Linked DNA regions of Rhinolophus ferrumequinum. The protein of the gene in region 4 interacts with the protein of the main gene of each other region in a pairwise test. Links are inferred from orthologs where the notes say so. Each region holds a gene or a part of one and is shown on either strand. Other genes may lie near its edges. The genes, in order: ZC2HC1C; LDOC1; USP2; keratin, type I cytoskeletal 15.

Region 1 (7,934 bases), on a different chromosome or scaffold from region 4:
TATTTTTCTAATATACACTAAAACTACTAAAATAAAAAGTGTTTGTCACTTTGAGAAACACTCATTTACAAACCAAGAGGCATAACCTTGATAGGATGGTGGACGTATTCATTAGACAATCTTCTCCAGATCTGATGGTCCAAGTGTGCCGATGAAGTTCCCCTAAGCTTATCATGAAAGTATTTCGAAGTCCTTACTTTTCACAAGCTAGTTTTTCTGCAGCTAGGAATGTTAATCAAAAATAAAATCCTTTACCTTTAAGGTGTTTACACTCCAAATTGGGGGAAGAATTCCAAACTTAATTGTGTTTCATGTATTTATTTAGAAGGTATATCAAAATTGAGCTAACTTTGGAAAAGTAGATATGGTTATAGGAGTGGTAATAAATCCTAATCTTGGGAGGTGGCAGAGAACAAAGAGCACGGAATTCACTCAAGATGGTGAAGTGCTGAATAGCTTTTTTTTTTTTAATATATTTTTCATGTCTTTAAATTTTCTATAGTAAATGTGTATTACTTTTAGAATCAAATGGATATATATTTTTTAAGTCTAGATTTTGGAGTCATTCTGACTCAGATTTAGATGCTGACTCTGTTATTTAAAGCTGTTTGTGATCTCAACCAAGTTAACCTCTCTGAGACTAGATTTTTTTAATTGATAAGAGATAATGAAATCCTCACTTGGTTATGGCGAGGGTCACATGAAAAGCTCCGGTCACAGTGACTGGCACACAGTAGTAATCAATAAATGTTAATTCCCACTTTCTCCCTACATGACACATTTTTTCTTTACAAAAATCTGATGATATACAGAGGGTGCCCAAAAAATGTATACACATTTTTTTAGAAAGGAGAAAACTGTATTAAAATCATAATACTCAATAGATACCGATAACAAAAGATGAATACAAGTCGTGTATATACATCTTTTTTGGTACCCCTGGTATATAACAGGTCCTTACAATGATCCCCACTCAAAGTCAAATCCATAAGGCCCTGTTACCTTGACTGAGGCTGGTCCCTTCCAGTTCAAGTACTGCTCTAGTTCTGTGCCCTTGGCCCGGGCCCTAGAGGAGTCAAACACTTTCCTCTTGGAACCATGTATCCTGCTGCAGACGTTGGAGTGTCTCTCCAGCCTGAGCAAGAGAAACTTGCGTCCACAGTGGCTGCACTTGCCAAGTTCTGGCTCTTGAGTGGAACAGCTGGAACCTGAAGAGTCTGGTGCCTTAGACAAGCTAGAATGGCGTGTGGATCCTGGCAAAGCACTGCCCGGCGCTTCTGAGGGCTGAGAAAAGTTCTGCTTCAACGGCCCCGAGACGTAGGCTCGGATTTTGTTATTGCTTGCCATTAGTCTTTCCCTTCTGAGCTTCTGTATTCCATAATCAGAAAAATGGAATGGACTAGAATTTTCTTGAGACCGTCCCCAAGTTTCATCCTCTTGCCTGTCTCGACCGAAGACCTCCTTAGACCTGTTTTCTGGGGAGAAGATAGGTTTGTACACAGTGTTGCTATTACCTTTACTTCTCCTCCTGGGAAATGTCATTCTCTGTGGCTCTCTTTTTGCCTTTTCCTCAGCCTGTTCCTTTTCTTTATGGATCCTTCTGAGTTCCTCCTCTGTCTTCTTCAGCTTTTCCCTTAGGAGGCTCTCTTTTCTTCGGATTTCCTCCTCTAAACTTTCTCCAGCAGCTTCTAGTCTTTGGATCTGTGTCCATTCAGTCCCATGGCGGTTTGGCATGGCCCTCTTCTCCTGCGTGGCAGCAACAGTACCAACCACAGATGAACTCACCCAGTTCCTTGAACCCAAGCTGCTGTATGAAAACTCTCTTGGCTCAGGGGGTCTGGGAGAGACATTCTGGTCCCCATCAGTGCCAGTCTCACGTGTACTACAAGACTTCCGATGGAATACGGGTTTCAGTGGGTATGCCCGGTCCACTCCAATTCGTTTCTTTGTAAAGGGGATGAATTCCTGGTTATGTGCTTTGGGGTACTGGGATTGAGAGCTTGATGAGTGAAACAAACCCTTTGCTTGGCCCCAGAGATTGTTTCTGGGATCCTGCTGGCTGATTCCAGCACAGTGGGGATGGTAGTAGCTCTGGGCTTTGGTGCAGGCGTTCCATTTGGAGTGAGTGTACAGATTATCCAGCGCCAGCTCATTGTTGCTCAAAAGCTTCTGCTGGGAATTGTTCCTCAGGTGCCCCATCGAGGAGCGCTGGGAAGAGCCATCTTTTTCATAGTGGTCTTGCTTAGCGGAATGGTTCCCTGGGGCATCTGCCTTATTATATGGGAGCATAACGCCCACAGGCAGAGGTGGAGCCAACTGGAGACCAGCCATTCAGGGCCTGGACTGAAGCCTAGGAGAGATTAAACCAGATATATGTGAGAAGTTTGTCTGAGGTTCACCCTGGTTGCTTAACTCAACTGTTTCTATCATACATTTGTCCTACCCACATTTTCCTTTAAACTTTCTAGGGACAGTGGTACTGGGTCTGCCAGAGCTCTCATTCAATAAGCATTTGGTGAGTGCTGATTATGTCCTGGGAGTGCATGTTAGGTCCTGAGGATAGAAAAATGAATGTGATATAGGTGTTCCTGCCACCTAGCTTTCCTTTATACCAGTACCAGCCTCTGCCATACAGTGCTGCGCCTGCCACACAGAGTATAGGCCATACTCGGTGGAAAGAGCTATTGGATTTGAAGTCAGGTTGTAGGCCTGTGACACAAGACGAGCAACTTCCCCTTCTGGCTCCAGTTTCTTCAGTACTCCTGCGTGGTACTGTTGCTGCCACGCAGGAGAAGAGGGCCATGCCAAACCGCCATGGGACTGAATGGACACAGATCCAAAGACTAGAAGCTGCTGGAGAAAGTTTAGAGGAGGAAATCCGAAGAAAAGAAACTGAGTGGTTCCCTCAGAGTTACATGACTGGAATTTAGGGACCTCAGGATTCCAAGTCCAGCCCCATCCTTTTACAGGTGAGAAAACTGCGGCCTAGAGGTAAGTGCCAGGGCTTCCCTCCTGCTGGAACCATGCTTGACTCCAAGGAGCACAGACGCTGCCCAGGGCCTGCAGCAGGGGCCTGGCTATCAAACCCTCACCCAACGAGTCCCCGCGGCTCAGAAGGCCAGGGGTTTGTAACTGAGAAGCGGGGGCCCCCTGACTTGGCCGCCGTGGGTTTTAGATCCGGAACGCGGAAGTCACGTTCCGTTCTGGAGGATCAGGCGGGGCGCCCCACTGGGGACTCTGCTTTGGGGACAAGCCCTCGCTTTTCTGTCTATCGGGCCTTTGGGAGGTCGAGGTGCTGACCCCACGTCTCCCCGTCCTCTCGCCTACCTGAGGCTCTCCAGGACAACTCCTGCTCAGGGGCAACCCCAAGACTTAGTTTTCCGGACCAGAACCCTACCAACCGACCGCCGCGCAGGCGCTCTCAGCTGGCCCCTGTTATTCCCGTTGCCTAGGAACGGGGTCGCGTGCGCTCCCAGCCCCGCCTCTCGCCTCTGTCGCCGCGGGGAAAGCACGCACAGGCGCAGTCCCGCGAGCGGTAGGGAGCCGCCCCGGAGGGAGGTGAGGTGCGCCGGGGTGTCACTTGACCCGGTGTCCGGCCAACTCTACAGCTTCGTCCAGCCCAGCCCTTGGGGAACAAGGGAGGGGACGGGAGAGGTTTTTCTGGGGCTCCATCAAAGAACTAGTATTTTTCTGAGAGCGATGACCCCAGACCCCGTGGTGTGCCCTTCTCGGGCAAAAGACGGCGCCCCTAGATGTGCCCTGGAGTCGTTCAGCCGCAGGATTCCGATGTCCGCCCCCGTAGCGGTAGTGAGCCTGCTGATAGTCTTGCTTAGCACGCTCGGCTGCTTCGTGCGCGCCCCAGGTATGGCTACACTGTCTCTCCGTGCTTTCCCTCACCAATAGTTTGGAGCTGGCGGTGAAATTATAGCAACTTGGCTAGGTTTTGCTACGCAGTATCTTTCTGGGATAGTTTTGTAGCCAGTGTAATTATTTTGATACGGTGTCTTACTCTCACGTGGTAACTCTGGCCGTCTCTTCATAGAGCCCAAGAATGACTCAACCACATGTAATGATAATAAAGTTAACTACTAGATCGAAAATAAGCAGTATAGCCTGGCTTCAACAGTAAGTGATACTCTGTGACCTGTTAACATCAGAAGAGTTTATTTGCCTTCATGCTTCAGTTCATTTGTGTAAGCTGTTTGGAACAGGCAACTGACTTTTTCCTTATAACTACGTAAAAGATTCATGCACATGGACGATAATATAGACAGTAGTAGTCACTGTTAATACTTCAACATATCATTACAGCTTTTACATATTACAAAGTAATTCCTTGTTGGGCCCTCCAGGGCTTTTCTTTTCCCCCCTTGTTTTCTTTCCTGGTTGACTCCCTATTTGCCTTCTTTATAGGACTCCTATATGGAGTTCCAGACATTTCCCACTCTTCTCAAGAGTCCAGTTATCTCAGCAACCCGCCTGCCTGTCAACTTCCACAGCTCCCCTCTAGTCTGGCCGAATTTCCTGGAGTGCTGACTTCCATCTTGACTTCCTTCTTGTTTTTTGAGGAAAAAGAATCTTTCTCTTTCCATGTGTTCTATTGAATGAGTCCCTTTCAGCATCCTCTAGGAATGGACTCCATGACTTTACCCCTCCATCTTGTTAACGTCAAGTTGTATCAATCCATATACTTTGGTTTTAAAATATGCTTAACTTCTCCTGCAAAACGAACCTCATTTCCCGTGACCTGTGGCCCCTTCCCCTAGGACCCCATTTATTTCTCCTCTGCTCCTCAAGACTTCTTAGTAGAAATTTTACATTTGCTGGCGCCCCTTCCTCGTCTCCTCTTCATTGTTCAGTCCATTGTGGTGTGGCTTCTACCCTTTCCACTTTGTTTAACTGCCAGGCTACCAGTGACTTTCCAATGACCAAAGACAAAAGCTGCTACTTCTTCAGCCTATTCATTTAACATTACTGACTTTTTACTTCCTTGGAACTCTGTTCTCACTTGATCCTGTGCCTTCTTGGCTTCTTTTTTTGTGTTCTTGCTCCGTCTTCTACAGGGCTATGTCTTTTCCTCACCTGTCCCCCAAATTTAGGTGTTCTCCAGAGCCCTCTTATTTCTCATATACATGCAGTTCCAGACTGCATATGGTTTCAACCAAATACTGAAATTTCAGGTGTCTTCTATGTTTAAATGGCATCTGGCTTAGCTCTCTCTCCTTGGTTACAGACTCAGATCTCCAACTGTCGATTTCGTTCCTCAGGAACCTCAGACTCAATGTAACAGAAAACAGACTCATGATCACCTCCCCACTCCCCCAATCCACTTCTTCTTCAGTGTTCCCTCTCAAACTAAAAGCATCAGTCACCTTCTACATCTCCCTCTTTGTCACACTCCCCTCTAACTGGTCAGCAGGCTCTGTTGAATTTATTCTGCAGTGTCTCTTATATATGACCCCTCCTTTACATTTCTACGACCCTAAGTGAGTTCTTGCTCACTTCTCATTGGGACGGCATGCATCACTCACCTAACTGCTATTCTTCCCTTCAACATCTGCATCCCAAGCCCATCCTTCATGCTGCTGCCAGAATAATTACCTACATAGTAATATTATTGTCCTACCCAGTGGCTTCTACTTTACCTATAGAATAAAGTTGAAACATGTAATCTGACATGGTATTTCCACCTACCGGATTAGGTCCAACCTACCTTTCCAGCCCTGCCCCCCCCAGAGTCTAGCCCAGTGAATCTCAACCTTGGCTGCGCGTGTTGTGCATGCTGTCCGTGCTTTAGCACTACCTGGAAGGCAATTTCTGGGGGTATCATCTGTATATCAGCATTTTTTTTTTTTACCATTGTGAGCAATGCTGTGATGATCATTTGTGCAATACCTATTTTTGGGATGGGTATCAGCATTTTTAAAAGCTTCCCTCCAGATCCTAATGTGCAGCCAGGGTTGAAAACCCCTGATCTAGCCACCCCTGACTAATTGCACTTTCTTACCTCAGCAGTACTACCTTACCCCAAGCTCCACATACTGGGAGGTGGTAGACATAGAATTTATGGGAGGGGGCTCTGTACTCAGACTGCCTGCAATTAAATCCCAGCTCCATCACTTACTGGTTGTGGTTGTGTAACCTTGGATAATATTTCCTCCAAGAATGTCTTCCCCATCTTCCCAGTCAAAATTAATCTCTTTGTTCCTTTATGCTCTCATGATGTTTTCTGTTCTGGTTACACCACAGGCCTGGCTTATGAGGAGCTCTTGATTGGTGTTCATGGAACTGAATTAGCATGTTGTACATTGTATTGTCTTTATTTGCATGCATGTTTGTTTCTTACACTAAATAAAAAACTCTTTGAGGACAAAGATTATATATCATTCAAATAATCTTTATATACCCTACAGTGTCCCATAAATAGTAGACACTCAATAGGTCTTTAATTCTATTGAGAAACTAGTTTTTTTAAAATGAATTTTGGAGAAAGAACACCAGCCAATTACTTTGTTTAGCATTATTTTCAAATATTGCCAAGCATAACATCCAATCCAGCTTCCCACCCTGCCCCCCACCCCTGTGCTAGCACTAAGGTTATATTTTCCAGGATCCAGAGCCTCACTTTGTAGTGGGGAACTAATGGAATGATTCCATTGCAAATCCGTCTCACCTTGCCAAGTCTGCCAATGTGGCATATTCACATATGGAGTCTTATGTTATGAAGGGATGTAATGTATACAAGCAATCCAAAGGGAACAGTAAACACAGTTTTCCTGCATACACATTCTTAATCACAAGGATAGCTGTATTCAAATGCCTACAAGGTGACCCTACTTTAAACAATCATCACGCACAACACCCCTTGACAATTCCCTTTGCCCAGAAGAAATTTATGCAATTTGGTCATTTGGCTTACATTGATTGATTCAATTGTGGTTCTGGAGCCATGGGTTATTTTGCTTGTGCTTGGGATTGATTTAGATAAGCGTTATTTGGAATGAGCAGCTTCCAGAAGCACAGAAAGAGAAATAACCACCCCTAGGACCTCTTACACACTTATCCTCGCTACTCCTAATTCCAGACTTAGGCATGACTTAAAATTTGAGAACTGAAAGAAAAAGTCAGTGCAGAAAGGTTGCATGTATTCTATTCAATTTGTTTGTTTATAATGTTTAATGTTTATTGCCCGTCTCCCATCTCCAGAAATTAAGCTCCTCTGGGCCAGAATCCTTTTGTTCACTGATGTATGTCTACCTAGAACTGCGCCTAACACACAGAAGGCTCTCAGTAAATATTTATTGAATGATTGGATTTATCTCAAGTGCTTCATCGTCTATATCTTTCTCCCCATGAGAAAAATGAGAAAAGAGGTGCTCTTGGTGACTGAGAAGGGTGAGGGCTCGGTCCGTAGAATCCGAGTTGAGAGTTCCTGGACAGATCCCCAGCCCTAGGCTCCCGAGAGGTCCCAGACAACCGGCCTCGAAATCCCACCCTCTGGGCGGGCTCTGGGCAGAGCCTGCCGTCCCTGATTGGTCAGCAGACATGATGGGCATGCGAAACAGCGAAGGAGGAACCCGCGCCCTGAGCTTCCGGGCGCGGCGGTTACGCGACTAGGAGAACCGTTGCGGTGGTGGTCGGGGTGTTGTGCCGGACTTAGAGGGTGAGCGTAGGACGGGACCCGGGGCGTGCCCATCAGTTCAATTGGCCCTAAAGTGTTGCTAGAAGGAGATTCTGGCGGCCGCGTGAAAGCCAGGTCCGTGGGAAGAGGAAGGGATGGAGAGGGAGCAGGACTGGTGTGGGGAGGTATTTGGCTAAACAGGTAATTGTCTCAAAAGAGGCCTCTGTGGGCAGTCGCGACCCGAAGCTCACTTGCCCAGGTGTCTTCTTCACACACCGTCGCTTACGCGTGTCCACTAGCGTACTCTGGAGTT
Region 2 (6,508 bases), on a different chromosome or scaffold from region 4:
CCAATATTGGAGTTTCCACAGGAAAGAATAGGCAAGACTGGGGAAACAGTTTAAGATTAGCTAGTTTAAATCATTCCAGGAACTCTGGGGCAGAGTGGCTGACCCTAGTTGTCTGGTACTTGGCCCTGGGTTGATTTAGGGCAGGGGAAGTATTGACTGGATATGTGAGAATTAGATAAAGAACATGTTTTCAGACTAAGGGCTGTGGATCACAGGGGAGATTTAAACCACTTTGGCCATTAATTTGGCCCTGTAATTAATAGACACCAAATAGACAAATACAGAGGCTAAGAAACAGAACAGGACCATGGATTCATCACATCATATCAGATCTTTCGATGTGGGACTATGCTTTTATCTGTAGCATATCATGAGTGTCTTCATGTTTCAGTTCTCTACTGTCATGAAACAAATGATCCCAAAATTTTGTGCCATTTTATTTGCTCATGATTCTGTTGATTTGGAATTCGTGTAGGGCTTAGCCAGATGTTTTTTTGCCTCTCTATGTAGTCAGCTGGAGTCATTTAGTCAGCTTCATTCAGGCAGTGATTCTGCTGGCCTGGAAAGTCCAAGGAGGCCCTTCATTCTCATGTTTGTTTGCTGCTTCGCTCTTCCTCCACATGACCTCTCTTTATCCATGTGGCTAACTTGAGCTTCTTCACAGCATGGCGGTCTCGGGGCAATTAGACTTCTTATCTGGTGGCTGGCTCTGAGTAGGGAATATTCCAAGTGGCAAACACAGACTCTTCAGATCTTTAAGGCCTTGCTTCATAAGTTATAAGTTACTTCCATCATCCTTTATTTGTCAAATCAAGTCACAGAGCCAGCCCAGATTAAACAGGCAGGGAACATTGTTTCTACCTCTTAATGGACTAAGTGGCAAAGAATCTGTGGTTATCTTCAATTCTCCACACTCATTCTGCCTCCTAAAAACTTTAATGTAGATCAAAGTAAATGGCCCATTTGAAAGACAGGCCTAGTCTACATTTAAAACCAAACAAGTAAACACAAATTATGACAGGCCGCTCTTAATATCTCTAACAACAGATTTAACATGATGCCAGATACTTTCTAAAACATATGAAAATACCAGAAACAAACCAAGTGCATAAGCTCTTGTATGTTCAAAGTGACGAATTATATTGAAATAACTAGGAATGAGAACAACAATTTGTATAATAGTAGTATAATATACTATAGGCAATAAATTCTATTTTATAGTAATATAAAAACATATACATGAATACAAATTAATAATAAGACATTAGTTCATGAAAATCATCATTCAGTTATAGAAATCTGATTTCCCAGTTCCATATCTCTGGGACTGTGAGTATATTTGGCACCATCCGTCTCCTACTTCATCTGAGAAACTGAACAGAATATTATAATATTATATTAGACCCGGTCTTATGTTATATTAAGACCCGGTCTTATATTAATTTTTGCTCCAAAGGACGCATTAGAACTGATTGTCCGGCTAGGTCTTATTTTTGGGGAAACACGGTATCTCTGTGTCTCCTGACATGTAAGGTTTGACACATATATGTGTTAGCAAAACTATGTATATTAGGATTCTGCAAACATTTTATATGTATATACATATATATGTATATCTTTATCCATTCATTTGTTGGTGGACACTTTGATTGTTTCCATATATGTCTATTGTGAATAACGCTGCGGGATCAAAGAGGCAGCCCAAGTCAATCGCTAGAACCGTGTGGACAACAGGAAGTGTGTTCCTGAGAGTAGAACTCTGGGCATCTTTTCCTGTAGTAGGGTCTGGACATGGAAAGTGGAGCTGGATACTCACTGCTGCCCAAAGCAGGTCCACCTTCCACCCTGAGCTGTGAATGGACAGCATGGCCAGAAACCTACCACTGACATTTCCTGTGCCTGTATTTCATCCACTGAACATTTATGGAGCACCCAATAAACACTTTCAGATGCTGAAGGTCAAAGGATGAGTGAGAGAGGGTCCCTGCTTGGCCTCCAGGGGCTTCTCATATAGTGGAGGAACTCATATGACAGGCGAGCCCAAGGGCTCATATTCCTTCCCACCTGCTCTTTTCCCCGCCCACCGAATCAGCAGCCTGATCCTTCCTCCTCTCCTTATTGGACCTTGGCCCTGTTTCTCTCCTTTCTCTCAGCCTCTTATTTCCATGAATGCCCATTCAATTAAATTTGATTGTGAAAGGACTGAAGAGGGTTTTTCAAAAAATTACTTAGCCATTTTTATTATGTCAGTCATCATTTCACAATGGAGACTGATTCTTGATCATAGATAGAACATACCAGACAGTTTGAAGAGTATTTTTGGACACTATGCAGCCACCCCTTCTAAATCTTATTTCAACATTATCTGCACCCTGGGATTCTTTCATTCACCACACATTTATGGAGCTTCTACTCTGGGCCAAGCATTTTTCCAGGCATTAGGAATACAGCAGCTAACAAAGCAAATTGTCCACATAGACTTACATTCTAAAGTGGAGGCAGACTGACGAACAAAGTAATATATGACATGATGGCTGCTAATGAAAGGGTGAAATTCAGTGAATCAATAATGTAGTTACACTTAGCTAGTTTGCAGTTAGGTCCATCCTGACATTCAGCTGTTTTCTCTGTTTCTCCGCTCACTGACTGACTTAAAAACTCTGTTTTGTTCCCTTTCTCAAGGCTACCCATACCTCATTAATCCATTTACTCAACAGAATCCTAACCTGAAAAGAGCGATTTCTTAATCCTCAGGCGCCTGGACACTGGAATCCGTTTTGCAACTCCCTTGCAGTTTTTACTGGTGACACATAAAGCCCCAGGCCATGGTGGCCAAGTCCGGAGATAACATTATCTTAAAACAGACCAGACCCCATGAACTGAGGACAGTCCTGGGACCTGATTGACCCACCCGGCCTTTCCTTTGTTCTTCTCGTGTTCCTATAAAACCTTCTGACCGGTCTAGGAGCGAGGAGATGGACTTTGGACAGGAGTCCGCCATCATCCCAGAATGCTGGCATTCTGAATAAACCTGCTTTTCTTTTCACCAACCTTGTCTCTCCATGTTTAACTTTTTCAAGCGGCAGGCAGCCGGTCCTTAGCACGGTATCGCTAGTCTGATAAATGCCATGTAAAGAAATGAAGCATGGTGAGGGGTTAGAGATTACTGGTAGAGAGCAGGGTGCTAGATGAGGTGGTCAGGAGAGTCCTCTCCAAAAACATTAGGAGGTGGAGTCAGGCAGCTAACAGGGGAGAGCCTTTGCAAGGCAGAAATGATAGGAAGTGCAAAGATCCTGAGGCCAGAGCTACTTGATGCGTATGAAAATCAGTAAGGGGGACAATATGATTAGAACAGAGCAGGGAATGGGAAAAGGCACAGAGGGTGATGCAGGGCCTTGACTGCTATGACCCAGATTTTGCTTCTTCTTTTGAGTGAGAAGAAAAAACCGTTGGAGGGTTTTGCACAGGGAAAACTTTTGTTCTAAAGAATTCCTGTACCTACACTGTGGAGAATACATACACTGGAGGAAGAGAAGAGTGAAAGCTAAGAGATTAGTTGCAGCAATCCAGGTGAGAAAGGAAGGCTGGGATCAGGGTGGTAGCGGTAGAAGTGACACGAAGTGATTGAATTGGGGATCTCTTTTAAAAGCAGAGCCCACAGACAAAGTTGGCTCTAAGGTCTTGGACACAACTCAGTTGTCAACAACTATTGGAGTAATCACATTCAAAGTAGAAAAACAAAACCATTTAAAAACACAAGTCTTCATTGTTAAGCAAAGAATAATACCCAGTGGCCAAGGGACACTAATATTATGAAGTGAAATAGTCAAAGATAGCAGGATGCCTGCATATGTTTGTCGGATAATTTTGCAGAACTTTTTATACTTCGCTATTTAGAAAAATAATAATGAAAAACGACAGATACACAATATTATTTCCCAACTAAAGAACAATCCCTGTTTAAATAATATTTTGTCTGAAAGACAGGACTCCTGAGGGTCTTTCATTACTCGGAAAGAATGTGTGACTCCCGCGTTGCGGCCAGCAGTGCTAATAGCTGTCTGGATGGATGAAGTTTAAATAAGCAAGAAAATGTGTTAATAAACATCATACAAATGGAATCTAATGGCCACAGGCCCAGTAAGGAACATTGAATTGGGTGACTCAGCTGGGATGAAGGGTGGTTAACCCTTTAAACTTGAGCAGGTTGGCCCTCTGTGAGAGACGGGTCTTAGGGCTCGCTGTGTCCTGGCTAATGCCTGTCCCACATACCCTGCCTTTATCCGCCCGCCGTCAGACCTACCAGCCCTGGGCCCCGGGAACCTGCCCGCCCCTCCCCTGGCCACGCCCTCCGTGGTCACGTCGCCGCGGCCCTGCCCACCCCCTCTGACCCCGCCCCCACGCAGCGCCAGTGTCTTCTCTGGACACGCCCCCCCTCCTCCCTGGGCCGCGCTGGCGCGGGGGCCGCGCCCGCGGCTTTGTGGGCGGGTCTTGCGCAGCCGCCGGGACCCCTGCGTGCACGGCTCTCCACCCCTGGCCACCCGCGCCTCCGCGGACACGCACTTCCTGCGAGGCCTCCCTGCGCACCTTAGGCGAGCCGAACCCAGCCGAGCCCAGCCGTGCCTTTCCAAGCGGTTCGCCATGGTGGACGAGCTGGTGCTGCTGCTGCACGCGCTCCTGGTGCGGCACCGCGCCCTGAGCATCGAGAACAGCCAGCTCATGGAACAGCTGCGGCTGCTGGTGTGCGAGAGGGCCACCCTGCTGCGCCAGGTACGTCCGCCGAGCTGCCCGGTGCCCTTCCCCGAAACGTTTAACGGCGAGAGCTCCCGGCTCCCCGAGTTTATCGTGCAGACGGCGTCTTACATGCTTGTCAACGAGAACCGGTTCTGCAACGACGCTATGAAGGTGGCGTTCCTAATCAGCCTGCTCACCGGGGAAGCCGAGGAGTGGGTGGTGCCCTACATTGAGATGGATAGCCCCCTCCTAAGTGATTACAGGGCCTTCCTCGAGGAGATGAAACAGTGTTTTGGCTGGGATGACGACGAAGAAGACGACGATGATGACGAAGAAGAAGATGATTACTAGGCCTGGAGACCCTCGGGCCTAAGGGGGAAGGGCTCTGCACGCCGCCACCTCCCTCCCCTCCTTCCTGCCCCTCCCGGAGCCACCGTACTCCCCCTAATCCTCCGATCTTCTTCCCTCCCCCAACCTCTGGTCCTCTCCCTCATCCCCCGGAGTGCTTGTCTTTGTTCCAGAAATTGTGCTCCAATTACGTGCTGGGGCTGGGGGTTTGCTCTGAAGCGCGCTGCCACCCACTCTGGCCAGCCCTGGGAAGCACCCCTGCAAATGTGGACTGTGTCCTGAGCCCCAGCGCTAAGGCAGGTCCCTGTTACCAACTGGTCAGATTATGCACTGCCCTGCCAACTGCCAGGCCAACATCTGCCCAGAGAACTACGCTGCCACGACACCACCATCCACCACGTTCTTGCGACTGACCACCGCCTTTGGAGATAAGGACCAACCTACAGGATGCCTGAGTTGGCTACAGCTCCTTGGACATTTATTTGGACAGCTCACAACCCCCGAAGGGGCCAGTCTTTCGACCTGGTTAGTTCCCTACCTATTTCCAGAGTCCTCCCCTACACCACCAGATTGCTGCAGGGGCCTAGTGTGCCTGGCAGCCAAATTGTTGACATTTCTTTTCTCCTATGCACTACTTTTGCACAGCTGTCATTTTCTTTAAAAATTGCAGCAGTCTCAAAAGAAAAACAGGCACTCAGCCAAGCTTCTCAATACTACCTGGAAAAAGCACTTGCGTTCTTTTCAATAAATATCAAGCACTACGAAAAAAACAAAAGGAGTGTCTTTTAATGGTTAAGTGCTATCACTGGCCCCTACCACTTTCACTCGGCCTCCCAGTATTCCCACTGAGATCAGGTAACTTAGTTCAATCCCAGAATTCCCCACTGTCATCTCTAGGCTACAGAGGACAGCTACCATAGGGCTTTATAGGGATTCTGGTGCTCCCCCTACTAAGGCATTTCTTAAAGCCCTGGTGAAGGGAGTGTCCTCTGGGGCCTCCAGGGTGGCATGGGGTAAGGGTGGCCAAGCGGGTAGCACACCATCTCTAACTGGGACACTTGGGAGTGAAAGGGGGCACTATTAATAATTAGGCTGGGACACCAGGCATGAATCTGGACACATACAATGTTCCTATCTTCCTGAGCCTTTGGATTCTTTCCTCAACCCTGCCAGGGAAATTCGGCCCCTTAATCCTTACTGCCTGTGGGGTGCTGTGGAATTCAGGCTTTAATTAACAATGGAGCACAGTATTATCATGCCCCTTTCAGGTGCTTGAGCTAACATTACATTCTGGATCCTGAGTAAGTGCACCTTGCTAAATAGAGCCTGATCTTAACATTTTATTCTCCTTGGGCAGACACCCTTAGAATCCTCACCCATTCATGTGCCCCAGATTCCTGCCTAAGAAATTGGCAAGATGCCTGGC
Region 3 (7,284 bases), on a different chromosome or scaffold from region 4:
CTTTCCAGGAAAAGAGTTCCAAAATTGCTTTGAAGGGTGGACTAGGTGCTGGTATTGGTGCATAGCTTCCCAAGGGGAGTACTTTGATGGTGACTGTAATGATATTCAATAATGAGGTATGCAGTATTTTGTAGGATGAGTTCGCAAACCTAATTGTCAGGCCTCGTACACTATGTTTTTCCCCTATACCTACCTATGATAAAGTTAATTTATAAGTTAGGCACAGTAAGCGATCAACAAGTAATAATTATAACAATTGACTCTAATAAAAGTTATGTGAATGGCCATAGGGCCCATTATTAAGTAAAATAAGGGTTACTTGAATACAAGCTCCGTGGTACTGCGACAGTTGATCTGATAACTGAAATGGCTGCTAAGTGACTAACAAGCACATAGCGTATATAACGCGGATACATTGGACAAAGAAACGATTCACATTCGGGGCCGGATGGAGTGGGATGGCACGAGATTTCATCATACCACTCAGAACAGTGGGCAATGTAATACTTATGAATTATTTATTTCTGGAATTTTCCATTTAATATTTTCGGACCACGGTTGACCGTGGGTAACTGAAACCACAGAAAGTGAAACTGCAGATAAAGTGGACTACTGTGTAACAATCACTGTGCTATAAGCTACACTAGCAATAAAGAGGATAAAGGAACACTAGAGGAAAAGGAGAATGAGAAGGAGCTGTCAAGAGGAATACCAGAAAAGCACTGTATTATAAAACCTAAAGGAGGAAAGAACTTTAAAGAGGAAATAGTTGGAGGAGGGCAATTAACTGATTATAACTAAAAAGGCCTCCTGGAGTTAGCAAGTAGGAGATCACAATGACTGGGTAAGAAGAGTTTCCTGATGTCTGAGAGGTAGAAGGTATGAGGATGCTGCACAGACAGGGAGGTGGGGAAACACAGCCTGCACAACTCTTGCAAGAGAACTGTGAAGAGGAAAGAGCAAGAACCGAAGCTATAGATTTTTATTTTGCAAAGAGGAAGAATTTGGAGACTATTATATGTCAAAGGGAATGTCAGTAGAAAATGAAAGTTTTAAAGCTACAAGACTGAACCTGTGACAGACAGTGACTGTGAACATGAGAACAAATGCTGAAGAGAGACAGTTCAATACATGATTTCTAATGGCCCTTGAGGATGCCTGACAACCCTACTATATTTCCACAATCCATTCTCTCTCCCATTTGCCAGCACAGTGGTTCTCAAAGGGCTGTTCCCAGGCCAGCTGTTCCACCATCACTTGGAAACTTGTTAGAAATGCAAGTTCTGAGGCCTACTCCAGATCTCCAGAATCTGAAATTCTGGGTGGGGCCTTAACAGACTCTGTAGGTAATTCTGATACCCAATCAAGTTTGAGAACCACTACCCTAGGTGGCTGGTTTACAACTCCTCCTCTCTCTCTAAATTTCCAACACTTCCTCCTTTATCCTTGATTCACTCTCAGCTAACCTTGCTTCCTAACTCACTGAGAGAAAAGAGACCACCAGGAGAGAATCTCCACTAGCTTCTACCACATCCATTCACCTCCCTGCAAATATTTTGCCTTCTCTCTTCTTCCTTTGGATGAATTCTCTGTGCCCCTAACCAAGCCAGGCCCTCACTCTGTACTAGATCCCATCCCTTCCTACCTCATCAAGGACATTGCTCCAGCTACTCTCCTCTCTCTCCAGCATTATCAAATCTCACTCTCTATTGGCTCCTTCTCATCAGCTATACAAACATATAGCTATTTCTGCCATTTAAGAAATATTTTTGACCTCATTTCTTTTAGCACCCACCCAATCTCTACTTCCTTTACCACAAAACTCTAGAATTCTCTACACAGTACTGTATCAATCCTTCTCCTCCCATTCTATCTGGAACCCACCCACAATCGAGATTTCACTCCCACACACACCAAAACTATTCTTGTCAAAGTCACCAACAACCTTCTAAATCAATTCTCAGACTCTTCTTATTTTACCTACATGCAGCATTTGACAAAATTTCTATTTCTTTCTTCCTTGGTAAGTTTCCTTTTCTTGGTTTCCAGCATATCACCATCTCCTAGATTTGTTTTTTCCCTATGTCACTGGCCATTCCTAAGTTTCTTTGCTGGTTCCTACTCATTTCTAAAGTCATTTAATGTTGAAGAACTCCAGGATTCAGTCCTTGCACATCTTTCTATTTATACTTGCTCCCTTGGTGATCTCTTCTAAGCTCATGGTCTTAAATAACATCCATATGCTGATGACTCTCAATTTTATATCTCTGACCCAGACTTAGCCAAACTTGTACATCCAACCGCTTTCTTGACATCTTGATGTGCCTGATAGACATCTCAAACTTAATATGTATTAAACCAAGCTCGTGACCTCCCACCACCCCAAAACCTGCTCCTTCCACAGCCTACACCTTCTCAACGTTTAGGCGAAAAATCCCTCCCTTTCTCTCACAGTAGACCTTGTTGGCAGGATATTCAAAATACATTCAGAATCCAACCACTACTCACCACCTCTCACTACACTAACCCAAGCCACTATCAGCTCTCATGGATGATTGCAGGAACCTCCTAAATGGTCTCCTGCTTCTTCTCTGCCTCTCTTCAGATCTGTTCTCCATTCAGCAGCTAAAAGGATTCTGTTAAAAAAAAAAAAAAAAAGTCAGATCCATGTCCCTCCTCTGCTCAAAATCAACGGCTCCCATCTCAGAGTAAAAGCCAAACTCATCAAATTGGCCTTAGAGCCAATTTGAAGTCCCTCCCTTTTTTCTTTGACCCCATCTCCACTCTCTCGCTCTCTCTTTAATCCAGCAACACTGACCTGGTTCTTCCACAAAAGTGGCAAATATGCTCCCACCTCAGGACCTTTGCATTTACTGTTCCCTCTGCCTAGAGCATCATCCCCCAAGATATCAAGATGGCTCATTCCTTCACCTCCTTCAGGTCACTGAAATGTCACCTTCTCATTGAGGCCATCTCTGACCATACTTTACACACTCCATATCCCCCTTCCTGATTTATTTGCCTCCATAGCTATTACTGTCATCTAACATACTATATATCCTACTTATTTGATTATTGTCCTTCTGCCTCTACTAGAATGTAAGCCACTTGAAGGCAAGGATTTTGCCTGTTTTGTTCAATGTTGTATCCCCAAAACCTAGAAGAGCACCTGGCTCGTTCAATAGCCATATGTGGAATGTGACCAGATAAGGGCCCTAAGGAAACAAAGGGTTGAGACCCAGAAGGGATTTGTCTTGAACAAGAAGAGACACACCACATTTTACCTTAAGTAGAGGTAAGAATGGATTCATATATGTTTGTAGGCAGAAATTTAAGTATTTGTCTCCTGATTGCCTATAATTTCTCTGCAAAATAGAAAACACGGAAGGACTTAAGGAGAATAGTAATGGACAGAAATAATAGCAGTGGAGAATGGGAGAAGGAGCTAAGCAGGAGCCAAGGCCTGAGCTCTCCTACAGATAGAGTAGAACCACTCCGAAGCAGCTGGACTTTCTCCTGGAGTGGGGGTGGTGCGCGTTGTACTGGCTTTATTTTTCTAGGATTGATGATCCAGGTGAAATTGAAAACCTGGATTTGCCTTGACACCAATCTACCTGGCTGTGTGTTTTTATTCACCTTCATGGGTAAAGGAGGGAAAGTTTACAAATAAAGAATGGGAATGTCAAAAATTCAAGTTCTGTCTCAGCTTTTTCTTAAAAGACCAAAGAGAATCCCTTCCACTGACTCAGTGCCTCCGTTTGTTTACCCACTGAAGAAGTCATCCCGATCGATGGTCTCCTGTTAGTAAAATGAGGAGTGTCTTTAAGAGTAGAGAAAAAGAAGAGGCTAAAGAGTAGGCTTTCTCCCGGCCCCTCCCTAAAAACTGAAAATTGATATATATGCCAGGTGGCTCAAATTCTGGGCCTTCTCCCCACAACTTTCCCAGTACCTTCCAGCTGCCCCCTGGTGTGACATTCCATTCCACTTCTTTTTGTGCTCATCCCCCTCAAAACTCGCAAGCTTTTCCTCCACGTGGTTCTCCATTTATCTTGCCAGGGAGACCCCTATGAGGGCGGGGCTCTAATGACGCCATAATGGGAACAAGCCAATAGCCGTGACGCTTCTCAGTGACGCAAACGTGGGGTGCGGTTTTGCCTGCCCGGGCGCAATGAGGCGGCTGCCCGCTGGGTGGCACCGATTTCCCGGGGAGGTCCTTTCTGGGCCCCCGGCGGAGGTGGAGGAGAGGCCAGCAAGAGCCAAGGCCAGGGAGCCCTCAGCGTCAGCTGCTCACTGCGCCGCGCCAGTACCAGCCGGGACTCACCCGCAGCTCCATGCTTGTGCCCGGCTCGACTCGTCCATCGTGTGAGAAGAAGCAGGTACATGCCACTTGTCGGAGGCTGGGGAGGAAGGATGCAGAGGTCAGTGCCGTTTGAGACTCAGAAAGTGAGGTGTCAACGACAGCCTAGGCAGAATGGCTACTAGAAATGTAGGGCGAGTGCCAGCTACTGGGAGGAGCTCCAGCTGCGGGTGCCAGTTGTGGGGGGGGGGTGTCGCGGGGGGGGGGGGGAACCTGCCAACTGACAGCCCAGGGTGCCAGGAAGAGCCATCTGTGTGCTGGTCAGTGTGTTCTAAGGAAATGCTGCTTCGGCAGGTCCAGGTCTCTGCCGTGAGGTATGTGGCCTGAGAGTGCCTCCTGGACAATGACAGTCCCTTCCTCAGGTGTGCATGCAGTTCACATACTCCCTGGTGGGGAGGGCTGCCGCTGCTCAGTTTGCCAAAGGAGGTGGGGGAGGGAGAGGGCAACAGTTAAGTAGAAAGGGAAGATTTTCCACCAAATCCAAACCAGAAAGAGGCATCTTTGAAAAATCTCAACAATCCCAAACCAGATGCAGGTGCCGTGCTCCAAGGCAAATAACTTTAGCCAAGCCAAGTCATGGCCATCCCATTCTAGCTGTTCTCTGAGGAGAGAACATCGACTTCCCGACCTGGCTGCTTCTAGAATGGGACTAAGTTGGAGACTGTAGTGATGCTCACCTCCCCAAGCAAGGGTATGAGAAGGTTCCCCAAGTTGGACCCTATAAAGTGGAGGAAAGGAAAGCTGGTTAGGCTGGGGCTTGGGGCATCCCCTACTCCTTTGATGCTGTAGATGCATGCCAACCTGGAATCATCATGAGGACTGGAATGAGGGCCGGGGACAAGGGCATCCTCTGAAGTGCATCATCAGGACCCAAGCTGAGTCAGTAGTCTCTGCTGAAACAGGGTGGAGGCACCGCCTGGGGACTCCCAGTCCGCAGAGAGCACCATCGAGAAACAGACTGGGAGCCAACAAGAGCACCAAAGCCCAAGAGGTTAAGAATCCAGCTCCTTCCTCCTATGACCCTGACCAGCCCAGTTCTGTGGCCTTGGAATCCTGAGCACTCCTACAGGTAGAGTGGAGCCACCCCAGAGCAGCTGGGCTTTCTCCTGGTAGCCTGGGAGAAGCCGCATTTGCTATATTTTTCCAGGCAAAGGGGAAAGGAGCCCAAATGGGCTTGGCCCTTCTTGGCTGAGTGGGGTGGACAGCTGGGAATATAGCAAACCTCATTTGCCCTTGCCAGTTATGGGACATGGACAAGCTCAGAAAAGCCTGGGGCTGTTCTCTGTCATTGGAACAGGGCACTCGGAGGGGTAATGCCCCACATCCTCTGAACCAGAGGTTTTCTCTCTGGTTTACTTGGGAGATGCTACTACAAATACTACCACTAAGTATGATAAGTGGAAGTATTCAGTATAATTATCATTTATTGTACTCCTAGTATGCGCGAGGAAATTTACAAATATTATTTTATCTAATACAACTGAGGTGTAGCATTATTATTGACTATTACTCCAGTTTTAAAGATTATATAACTAAGATTCAGACAGCTTAAGTGATTTGCCCACTGTTTCAGAGTCAATAAAAGAGAAAGAACTGGAATACAAGCCCAGGCCTAGAAGTCTATTATAAAAGAGTTTGGACTGAAAACCTGAGAGCTTGTCCCTCCTGCCTCCCACTGTCTGTGCGCCCTTGAGCAAGCTGCTGGCCATCTCAAGGTCTTCTGCATCTCAAAACTGAAGGAACTGGATTAGCACTGTGGCCTCTTCCTCTTCTCTAATTCTGTGACTGACACCTCCTTCTCCATATTTTTGCCTCAATTCCAGCCCCATCCCTCTGCCCTCTTTCCAGTTGTTTCCCCTTGAATCCCTCTTTTGTTCCATGTCAGAATGACCCCCTTCAAAGAGTCCTCTTGGATTTCCTTGCCTGGCATGCTGGCCCATCAGGGCAGACCCTCGAGAGAGGGCCTGTCACTGCCCCTTTAATTCTCCCCGGGTTTGGAATGCAAGTGAGTTGAGCTAGCCATCCCTCTGAGGTCAGATAAGATACTATATATATATCAGAGTCAGTAACCTGAGCTCCAGATTACCCAGCCCAGAGTCAGACTCCAGTCTCCCAGCTCTCTACTGCGCTCCTGGCCCTGCTGGGGAAGGAGAAGCCCCCAGATCCTGTCCATTGCCCCCGGACACAGGTCAGTAGCTGCCCCTTCAGTATCTGAGCTCTGCAGATCCGCTGAACAGATTGTCTACTGGGGGAACATTTAAGAGGTCGCCCCACTGGGCTTGGTGGGTGCTGTGGGCAAGACCAAAGGCTAGAGGCTGACGACAAAGCCACTCTCCCCTGGGGAGGGGACACCAGGAGAGTGCCTGGACAGAGGTGGCTAGAAAAGGGTATTTAAGGATTCCAGTACTGCTTGAGGCTGGGGGGAGGGGCATTTCATTGTCTTTTCTTGGAAGTTTAGGATGCCTACCCCCTCCCAACCCCAAATCAGGAAGTGCCCAATAGGGACACTATCCTAGGCCCACCCACTTTTTTTCCACCAATCAGAATTCTTGTTCTAATCTTTAATCTCTTTATTTTATCTCTTCTGCCCCTCTCCCAGCCCTTGGGCAACTAGTGGGAGTCAAGAGACAGAAATGGACCCAAATTTCCTTGGATGACCCCCTGCCAAGGCATGCAAGACAATCAGGCACTAAACTGGTGGGTTACTGGGTGCCAGCCCCTGAGAGACAGAGCTGCTAGTGACAGGCTGGAGGGGAGGGGACAGGTTGAGGCTCCTGGGGGCCTGAGAGAATTAGACAGAGCTCCTGGATTATGTGAGCACAAATATCCCCGTTCCCCTTCTCCATTCTACCTGCATCCTCCACACCTGCTAGACTATCCCTTGACCCAGGAGTTGACGCATGTGCCCAGACAGTGGGCAACTAAGG
Region 4 (8,325 bases):
GTCCTTTACAGGAGACACACAGGTCCAGAGAGGTGCCCAAGGTAACAACCTAAGGGCTGAGTGCAGCAGCCAGAGCCCTTCCTCCTCACCCAGTTCTCTTTCAGTGCACCAGTACTGGGCCCTAAGATTCTCTCCACCCCAACCACAAAGGAATGGGCCCCTCCCTCATTCCTCCCTCTGCACCCTGCACCTGCCTGGCGTCTTGGCCCTCCAGCAGGCTGCGGTAAGTAGCGATCTCCTGCTCCAGCCGCGTCTTGATGTCCAGCAGGATTTTGTACTCCTGGTTCTGAGACTCCATCTCGCAGCGAAGCTCACTCAGCTGGGCCTCGAGGCCACTGATGAGCCCCTGGATCTGTGCCAGCTGCGTGGCATAGCGGCACTCCGTCTCCGCCAGGGAGCTCTCCAGCCCAGCTTTCTGGTGTGGCAACAGATAAATAGACACCACGTCAGGCTAGAAGGAAGCCACCGGGGGCAGGGGGAGAGGCGTTGAATGGACGCAGGGAACTCCCTCTTTGGGGGCTTGGGAACACCAAGGTTTAACCAGCCACAAAGGGTGGGAGAGACTGGGGTGGGGTGGGGTGGGGTGCGGTGGGGTGGGGTGGCCATACCATGCTGAGCTGGGACTGCAGCTCGATCTCCAGCCCCTGCAAGGTGCGTCTCAGGTCTGTGATCTCCGTCTTGCTGGTCTGGATCATCTCTGTGTTGGAGGCCACCTCCTTGTTCAGCTCCTCTGTCTACAGGTCACACACAAAGAAGTGAGCCCATGGGCCTCCTGGGAGACCTGGGGAGCTGGGGCAGGCTGGGACGTCAGGCTCACCTTGCTGAAGAACCAGGCCTCGGCGTCGCGGCGGTTCTTCTCCGCCATGGCCTCGTACTGTTCCCTCATCTCCGCCAGCACACGGGTCAGGTCCACACCTGGGGCTGCGTCCATCTCCACATTGACCTGACCGGCCACCTGGCTACCAAACTCCCTCATCTCCTGCAGGATGCGTGGGGCCCATTTAGAGATGGAGGGCAGAAGAGAGGGTGGAGAATCTGGGTCCCCCCACGCCAATCCTGGCTGCGTCCCTAACTCACTAGGTGACCTTGGCTCTCCCCATACCCACCCAGCCTCCATTTCCCACTGTTCAGGAAGAGGTTTGATTGCATGGGCCCCTCAGCTCTGAGGGTCTCTCTTCCTCTCTAGGTGCTTCCAAGGGAGGACGTCAAAACAGTAAAGGCCCTGCATGAGCTCATGAAGCAAATCAGGACAGCAGTTCCCACTGGTCACCTGGCCTGGCTAAGGACCAGAGAAGGAAAGGAGTCTGGGTCACCAGAGAACAGTGCCCCCTCCTCTCCAGGGAGACCCCTGTTTTGGTATGTGTGTGGGGGGTGCATTTCTGAACCTCTAAGCCCTTCAGCCAACTATGAGGAGGCACTAGAGGCCCCACTCTGCTCCCACCACCCCCACCTCCTCGTGGTTCTTCTTCAGGTAGGCCAGCTCCTCATTCAGGCTCTCGATCTGCATCTCCAGGTCAGCCTTGGCCAGGGTCAGCTCGTCCAGCACCCTGCGCAGGCCGTTGATGTCGGCCTCCACGCTCTGGCGCAGAGCCAGCTCATTCTCATACCTGGGAAGAGAAAGGGAACCCAAAGTAAGGAAGGGTGAGGGGTCTGGGCTGCTTGAGTTGGGGGAGGGAGAGAGGTCAAAAAAAGGGGGCAACACAGAAAGGCAGAGGGAGCCAGGAGCGCACTTGAGTCTGAAGTCGTCCGCAGCCAGCCTGGCGTTGTCAATCTCCAGGATGACCCGGGAGTTATCAATGGTGGCCGCCAGGATCTGCAGGAGACAGGGAGTTGGTGCCAAGAAAACCCCTCCCTCTTCCCTGCTGCTGTCCCCACCCTGCACCCCAGGCTGGCTCCCCACCAACAACCTCTCCTCTGCTACCACCACCAAGAGCCTGTAGGGTTCCCGGGCAGAGTCCAGCTTTATCTCAGGTGTCCACTACTTCGTCTGCCCCTGTCTCCAGGGCATGAAAGACCAAGGAGCCAGAATTGCCTGGCACCCCCTGTAGGAATTAAATGTCTAGGAGTGGGGTGGGGGCTCTGACAACAGCCCCCTGGGGGATACTCCACCAGCTTCGCCTTGGACAGCTCGGGGTTGCTGGCCTCCTGTGCACCTTGACACAGCCAGAGACCTACAGAACATTCCAGCCAGTGAGAACCTGGAGTACAGCTAATGAAGGCATCTTACAGCTGAGGAAACTGGTCCAGGGGAGTGACAGAGTGAGTGGGTGGCAGAGCCCATAATGATTTTCAGGCCTCCTAAGTCCCAGTAGTGCTTTTGGCACCAAAGACATCCTCAGAGGGTGAGGCAGGAGGCCCTGGCACTCAGGGTTCCTGAAGCTACACTCATCATTCTCGCAAAAGAAGCAAAGGGACACTTATGCAGAGCCCAGTTGCTGTCTGATTGCTCCCATCTGGGCCCCCGCTGGTCCTGACCAGATTCCCAGGATCTGCCCTGCACTGCCAGGTTGAGCAGATGTCTGCCAACATCCACACCTGGAATGTATTCCCCACATTCCAAGTTTGCCAAGGTTACACACAGCAATCATTGCCTGGGCAGGAAAGGCTTTCCTCGAGGCAGCAGGAACACTGATCTTAGAGATGAGAGCAGGGCCCCTGCCCCCTCTCTTTGATCCCCGAGGACTCACCTTGTCCCGGAGCTCCTCGATGGTCTTGTAGTAGTGGCTGTAGTCGCGCTCCGGGCTGGCCGGGCTCTGCCTCTGGTACCAGTCACGGATCTTCACCTCCAGGTCGGTGTTGGCCTCCTCCAGGGCGCGCACCTTGTCCAGATAGGAGGCCAGGCGGTCGTTGAGGTTCTGCATGGTGATCTTCTCGTTGCCAGAGAGGAGGCCACCCTCGCCACCACCGAAGTCACCAAAGCCACCTCCAAAGCCTCCACTGAAACCACTACCAGCCCCTCCGCCAAAGCCACAGCTTATGCCACCCCCATAGCCCCCTCCCGACCCAGAGGAAACAAACCTGGCAGAAGAAGCTGACATACTCCGGCTTCCACCTCCCCCAAAGAAATTCCCCCCACCAAAGCCACCTCCCCCAGCCCAGAGGGAACCCCCCCGGGTAGAGCTACCCCCAAAGGGGGAGGAAGAAGTCTGCAGAAATGCAGTGCTCATGGCCAGGCAGCAGTCGGTGAGTTCTCGGCAAGGACAAGCGACGCTGGCAAGAGGTGCAGGCTACCCTGAAACCAGAGCACTGCGCCTGTCACCCCCCAGACTGGGGCTTCTTATATACCCCTTGGAGGGTGTTGTAGGTTCGCGTCTCCTCCCCCAAACGGAGGCCAACTCCTGCATTCCTGACAAACACAGTTGCCTGCACACCTCTGTGTGGCTGGTGTGGAGTTTTTCTTTTCTTCCTTTTTTTTTTTTTTTTTAATGCAACAAAAGAGATGATTCACAATGAATGGTGGTTTGCCCCGGGCCATGGTTTTAACGCTTGCATTTCAGGTTCATCTCTGCACCTCAGGAGAACAGGCACGGAGCAAAGTCCCATCACACCACAGCACTGTTAGAGCAGCTCAGGCCAGCTCTGCCCTCAGGTGGACTTCTCTGCTGCTGACAGCCGGGACCCTCACCCCTAGGCAGCCAGCTACCTGCTCCCAGTTCCCATCCTGCTCTGTGTTGGCCCCCTCACAGATCCTGTGTGTGCCTACAAGGCTGGGGAACGGGGGAGAAAATGGCCTCTGGGGATCAGTGGGTAGAGGCACCTGGAAGGATGCTGGGCCCAGGGGGACAGGCTGAGGACAGGGACCCGGGTCTCGAGTCAAGTTCCAGCGAAAGTGACCAGAGGGCCAGCATCTATCACTTCCCTAACGGTACAAAGGGACTTTCCTCCTCTACCCCTCTCCTCCCCCAATCCACCCTCACCCCAGCCCCCACTGCACTGGCACTCTCACAAAAGCCAGCAGGCTTGGGGCTGACAAGGGGCTGATTGATAATCCCACCACCTGCCAACATGTCACTGAAACTTTGCTTGCTCCTAGGACACGTTGGGGCAAACCTCTGCAGATAAAACTGGGGCAAGTTTCAGGAATCCCCTGCCTTCTCCGGGGAGAGACATGTCCCTGCACACCAGGGCCAGGTTAACCCTGTTTGTCCTGTGAAGCTGCAAGGCTGGGGAAGGACCCTACACGGAGGGCTCTGTGTGCCGGAGCTGGGGGAGGGAGGAGATAGGGAGGCCTGACAAGCAGACGGGGGAGACCTTCGTGGCAGAAGCACCACTTCACAGAGCAGGATGCTGAGGCCAGAGAGAGGAGCCCTTTGCTCTGACACCAGCTCAGGGCTCAGCTTTCCAGGGATACCTGACACCTGTGGGGAGTGCCACTTGGAGGCATGACCTTAGCTCCTGGGCTTAGGGAGAACAGGGGTTGGGGAAGTGAGCTAGACTGAGCTGGAGAGTCAGGAGGATCCCTGGCCCAGGGCTGCAGCACAGTGCGGTGGACAGGGCTCTGAGGTCCCTCAGACAAAAGTCCATACCCTGCCTCTATCCATTACCGCCTGTGAAATCTTAGACAGGTTATCTTTAAGTCTCAGTTTCCCTGTGACAAGTGGTACTTTCAGTCCCACTTATAGAGAAGCCCTGACGCCCGAGAGCCTCCCTCCTGCCTGCTCCTGGCTCCGCATCTTCTGAATGGTTAGATAGTGGGGTACAGGCCCATCATCTGGGACTCACGAATACCCTCACCAGGAGGGACTTTTGTCCTTAGACATCAGATCATGTCCTATGCGCAGCTTCGCTCTTCCGTGCTCTTCCATAGCCAGTGCCTGTGGGGCAATGCAGGCCACTGTCATTATTGCTGTTGTCACAGTAATCCCGCACGTGTACTGCACACATCACAGTTTACCACATGCTTTGTATCCAACGCCTCCTCTAATCCTCGGTTCACAGATGATCCCTGATCCTGTTTCAGAAGGAATGAAATTGGGGCTCAGAGAGGGGAAGCGATGTGTGCAAGGTGGCGCAGCTAGCAAGGGGCATCACCAGGACTCAAATGGGTCCTCTGAACCCTCCCACCACCATTCAACCAGGAGACAGGAAAAGAGGGTCCCTCCCACAGATTCCTGCATCTGAGTTGGGGTGGTGGGAGGGGGACCGCAGGCCTGAGTGGGTGGGCGTGGGCTCCTCCTCACCCAGCTTTGCAGTGAGCTGGGCCTCCAAGCGCTGGTCCCAGACAGTGCGGTATTGTCTCATAGGTGGGAGGATATTGTCTTCCTCCAAAAGAAAAATAATCAAAGTCAGATCAGCCATAGCTCATTAAAGCTTTTGCAGACATTATGGCCCCAGCAATTAACAGGGGAAAAATTACGTACCATCACCCCGGGGCGAGGGAGGGCTGGACCCGAGCCAGCCCCTGTTGTGCACCCTGACTCCCCTCCAGCAGCCCCTCAGGGTGGCTTTCCCTCCACTTCCAGGCCCAAAGGGCGGCAGCTGCTTCAGTTGCAAATGCCTGGTTCAGTCCCAACAGCTCCTGTGAGCTCAAGGTCTAGGTGGGGCTCTGGGGCCTGCATATCAGCACCAGGTGGGGATGACTGGCCAGCGCTGAGATTAGCCTCTGTTTGGCCCCGGCCCCAGCTGCATCTCTGGGCCCTGCCCCAAGCAGCCTGCCCAGGAGGCTGGGCCAGTTTCAGAACTTTGTCCACTACAGACAGACAGGCTGTCCCTAGAGCCAGCCTTTCCTCCTTGGGATCAGGTGATGCAGCCCGGTGGAAAGAGCCTGGGCTGGACTCCACCTCTGGGTGTGACTCAGCCTCTCTGAGCCGGGTTCCTGACTTAAATTTGGGCCATTTTTCCACTTATGTGAGGTACTCAGAGTAGTCAAAATCATGAAGACAGAAAGTGTAATGGCGGTTGCCAGGGGCTGGGGGGGAGGGGAGAATGGGAAGTTATTGTTTAACAGGTATAGCACTTCAGTTTTACAGGACCAGGAGGAAAGGTTTATGAGGATGGATGGTGGTGACGATTGCACAATGTCAATGCATTTAATACCACTGACCTGGACGCTTAGAAGTGGTTAAGATGGTAAAATGTACGTTATGTGTATTTTACCACAATAAAAAAAAAAAAGAAAGAGTTGGGCTTTTACACGTTCCCCAGCTACAAGGCCACAGTGAGCATTTGATGGCACATCGGAGAGGGAGCTCCATAAATGTTAGAATCCACACTCACCACCACTGCCCCAGGGAGATGCTAGAGACAGAGCGCATGACCTGGGGCCTAGAGACCTACCTTCAAATTCCCCCTTTCTCATTTATTGGATATGTGGCTTTGGGTAATTGCTCTCTCTGAGCCTCAGTCTACCAATCCAGAAAATGGAAATAATCCCTGCCCAGTCTTACTCAGGGTTGGAGCAATATGGCTAACAGGAAATGCTTTTTGCAAACTTAAGTGGTCATCTGACCAGCAGGGGTGGAAAGACCTCGCCCCTCTCAAATCCATCCCCCCCCTCCTTTTCCTCTGTCAAAGTTGCATCAGTCAAGAGTAGCCCTAGTTTCAGCTCCCAGACTGTCCCCGCCCTTGCCCTCCTCATCCACCCGGCACACACACAAAGGACAACTTCATTCCTGACACCCAGACCTGTGACCCAGTCACCTGCTGCACCGGTGTGGGCCCAGACCCCACCCCCCCAGCCACATTCCAAGGGCCTCTGGGGCATGGGGGAGGGTTTCAGCTGTGACAACAGAGGCTTTCATGAACACAGGACAAATATCTCTGGGCAGTCCCAGTCTGGGGGTGCAGCCAGGTTTCAGGCCTGTAGTTCCAAGGCCTCACGAAAATTGGGAGGGAGACTAGGGGTGCTGGAGAACAGTACAGGAGAACAGCTGGGGTGGTGGCAGAAGAGGCTCTTGGCCCAGGGCTACAGCAGGTGAGAAGGGGAAGACTGGGGCTCTGGGGTCACCAGTCATGATTTGGAGCAAGATAATGAACCTCTCCAGGGCTGAGCAGGGGGAAAATGGAGGAAAGAGCACCTCCTCAGGAATACTAAGAGGAATGACAGTGTCACAGGCCTCCTTAGCTCGGTCCTGAGAGCAGCGACAAACATTCCATTCCCCTCTAGACCTTCTGGAGGCGGATGGGGCCGTGTTCCTCTCTTGCCTGACCCTCTCCCTCACAGTCTGCCTGATGTCACAGATCCCTGGGGCCTGAACAGATCCACTCAGCCTGAACCGCTCAGCCAGGATGAAGTAGGACTTATTTACCTTTAATTGGCCTCAGTTCTTGGCAGCTAAGTCATAAACCACAGGGGCAGGACCATACCCACCCAAGGGCAGAGTTGTACCAGGAAGCTAGGACTTGCTTCCTTAGCTGGCAGGAGACCGGCCCCAGGCAAGCCAGGTTGAGGGGTGTGCGGGAGGTCTGGGTCACACCTGGGTCCTATTCCAGGCTCTGGGCCCAAGTATGGGCTGGTGGGCATAAGGGATTTATGTGGAATGGATGAATGTGTTAGTACCTGCATGTTAGTGCCTGCACACTCTCCAGCCTTGCTTTGAGCAGGATGCCTGCCTCCTTTACTCAGGCTCTGACCCCAGAGCCCCCGTTTCTCCTTCTGTCAAGTGGAGAAATGTGTCAGGGGATCCCAGTCCTAGGCCTTCACATGGAGCAAGACTAAAAGGTACTGAGCACAGTGGTGTCAATCCTAGGAGATGGGGTGCAGGATTGGCACTGTGGGTTAAAAATCAGGAAAGCTAGATTCTGGTCCTGACTCTGCCATGTAGTTGCTGTGTGGCCTTGGACAATTACTTAACCTCTCTGAGCCTATTTCCTACTCTTGTACTTAACTATCTGTTAGGTTGTTTTGATTAAATGGCACATAATAGATACTCTGTAAACGTTAATTTCATACAAACAAACGCCAACCTTTGCAGGAATACAGTGGAAAGAAAACTAATCTGAAAGCAAAAACCAGTTTCAAATCCCACCTCTACCATATTAGAACAGTTATATATACAACAAACCACTTCACCTCTCCGAGCTTTAGTTTACTCCATGTAAATGGGAGCAATGCTTATTTCATAAACTTGTTTTAAGGAACAGTTTAGATAAATGAAGGCTTCTGCAAGGAGGAATTACCGTAACAATCAGTTTGTGGGTACCATCCCTTCACTTTCCTAGGACAGGGTGGACTCTTGTCCAAATAAAACCTAAACAGGGCCAAGGCCTGGCCCATTTCCATGGGCTGAAATAACAAACTCGATATCCTTCGTGCCTTGGGCCATTACGTTTTATTGGCAGGTTAGGGGAAGAGCCAGAAGTAAGGGTCCCTCCCCTCTCATGCCC

Evidence for each region.
Region 1: the proteins of keratin, type I cytoskeletal 15 (region 4) and ZC2HC1C interact in binary tests that used the Homo sapiens proteins (3 or more experiments, as listed by UniProt). The two-hybrid records come from large-scale screens. The link is inferred for Rhinolophus ferrumequinum from reciprocal best matches to the Homo sapiens genes KRT15 and ZC2HC1C.
Region 2: the proteins of keratin, type I cytoskeletal 15 (region 4) and LDOC1 interact in a two-hybrid assay, tested with the Homo sapiens proteins (2 studies listed by BioGRID and IntAct). The two-hybrid records come from large-scale screens. The link is inferred for Rhinolophus ferrumequinum from reciprocal best matches to the Homo sapiens genes KRT15 and LDOC1.
Region 3: the proteins of keratin, type I cytoskeletal 15 (region 4) and USP2 interact in binary tests that used the Homo sapiens proteins (3 or more experiments, as listed by UniProt). The two-hybrid records come from large-scale screens. The link is inferred for Rhinolophus ferrumequinum from reciprocal best matches to the Homo sapiens genes KRT15 and USP2.

The regions. Positions count from the first base shown.
Region 1 is NC_046289.1:23,538,055-23,545,988, forward strand, and holds the start of ZC2HC1C (zinc finger C2HC domain-containing protein 1C), read right to left. Parts: upstream 3,442-7,934; 5' UTR 3,328-3,441; intron 2,351-3,327; 5' UTR 2,332-2,350; coding exon 1,003-2,331; intron 1-1,002. Other genes in the region: DNA mismatch repair protein Mlh3, read left to right, coding at 3,700-3,862.
Region 2 is NC_046284.1:15,202,702-15,209,209, reverse strand, and holds LDOC1 (protein LDOC1), read left to right. Parts: upstream 1-4,442; 5' UTR 4,443-4,641; coding exon 4,642-5,085; 3' UTR 5,086-5,875; downstream 5,876-6,508. UniProt on the Homo sapiens protein: May have an important role in the development and/or progression of some cancers.
Region 3 is NC_046294.1:88,611,485-88,618,768, reverse strand, and holds the start of USP2 (ubiquitin carboxyl-terminal hydrolase 2), read left to right. Parts: upstream 1-4,201; 5' UTR 4,202-4,376; exon of another isoform or gene 4,377-4,418; intron 4,419-6,449; exon of another isoform or gene 6,450-6,545; intron 6,546-7,284. UniProt on the Homo sapiens protein: Hydrolase that deubiquitinates polyubiquitinated target proteins such as MDM2, MDM4 and CCND1. Isoform 1 and isoform 4 possess both ubiquitin-specific peptidase and isopeptidase activities.
Region 4 is NC_046304.1:37,551,256-37,559,580, forward strand, and holds the start of keratin, type I cytoskeletal 15, read right to left. Parts: upstream 3,231-8,325; 5' UTR 3,168-3,230; coding exon 2,688-3,167; intron 1,814-2,687; coding exon 1,731-1,813; intron 1,608-1,730; coding exon 1,451-1,607; intron 980-1,450; coding exon 818-979; intron 735-817; coding exon 609-734; intron 416-608; coding exon 195-415; intron 1-194.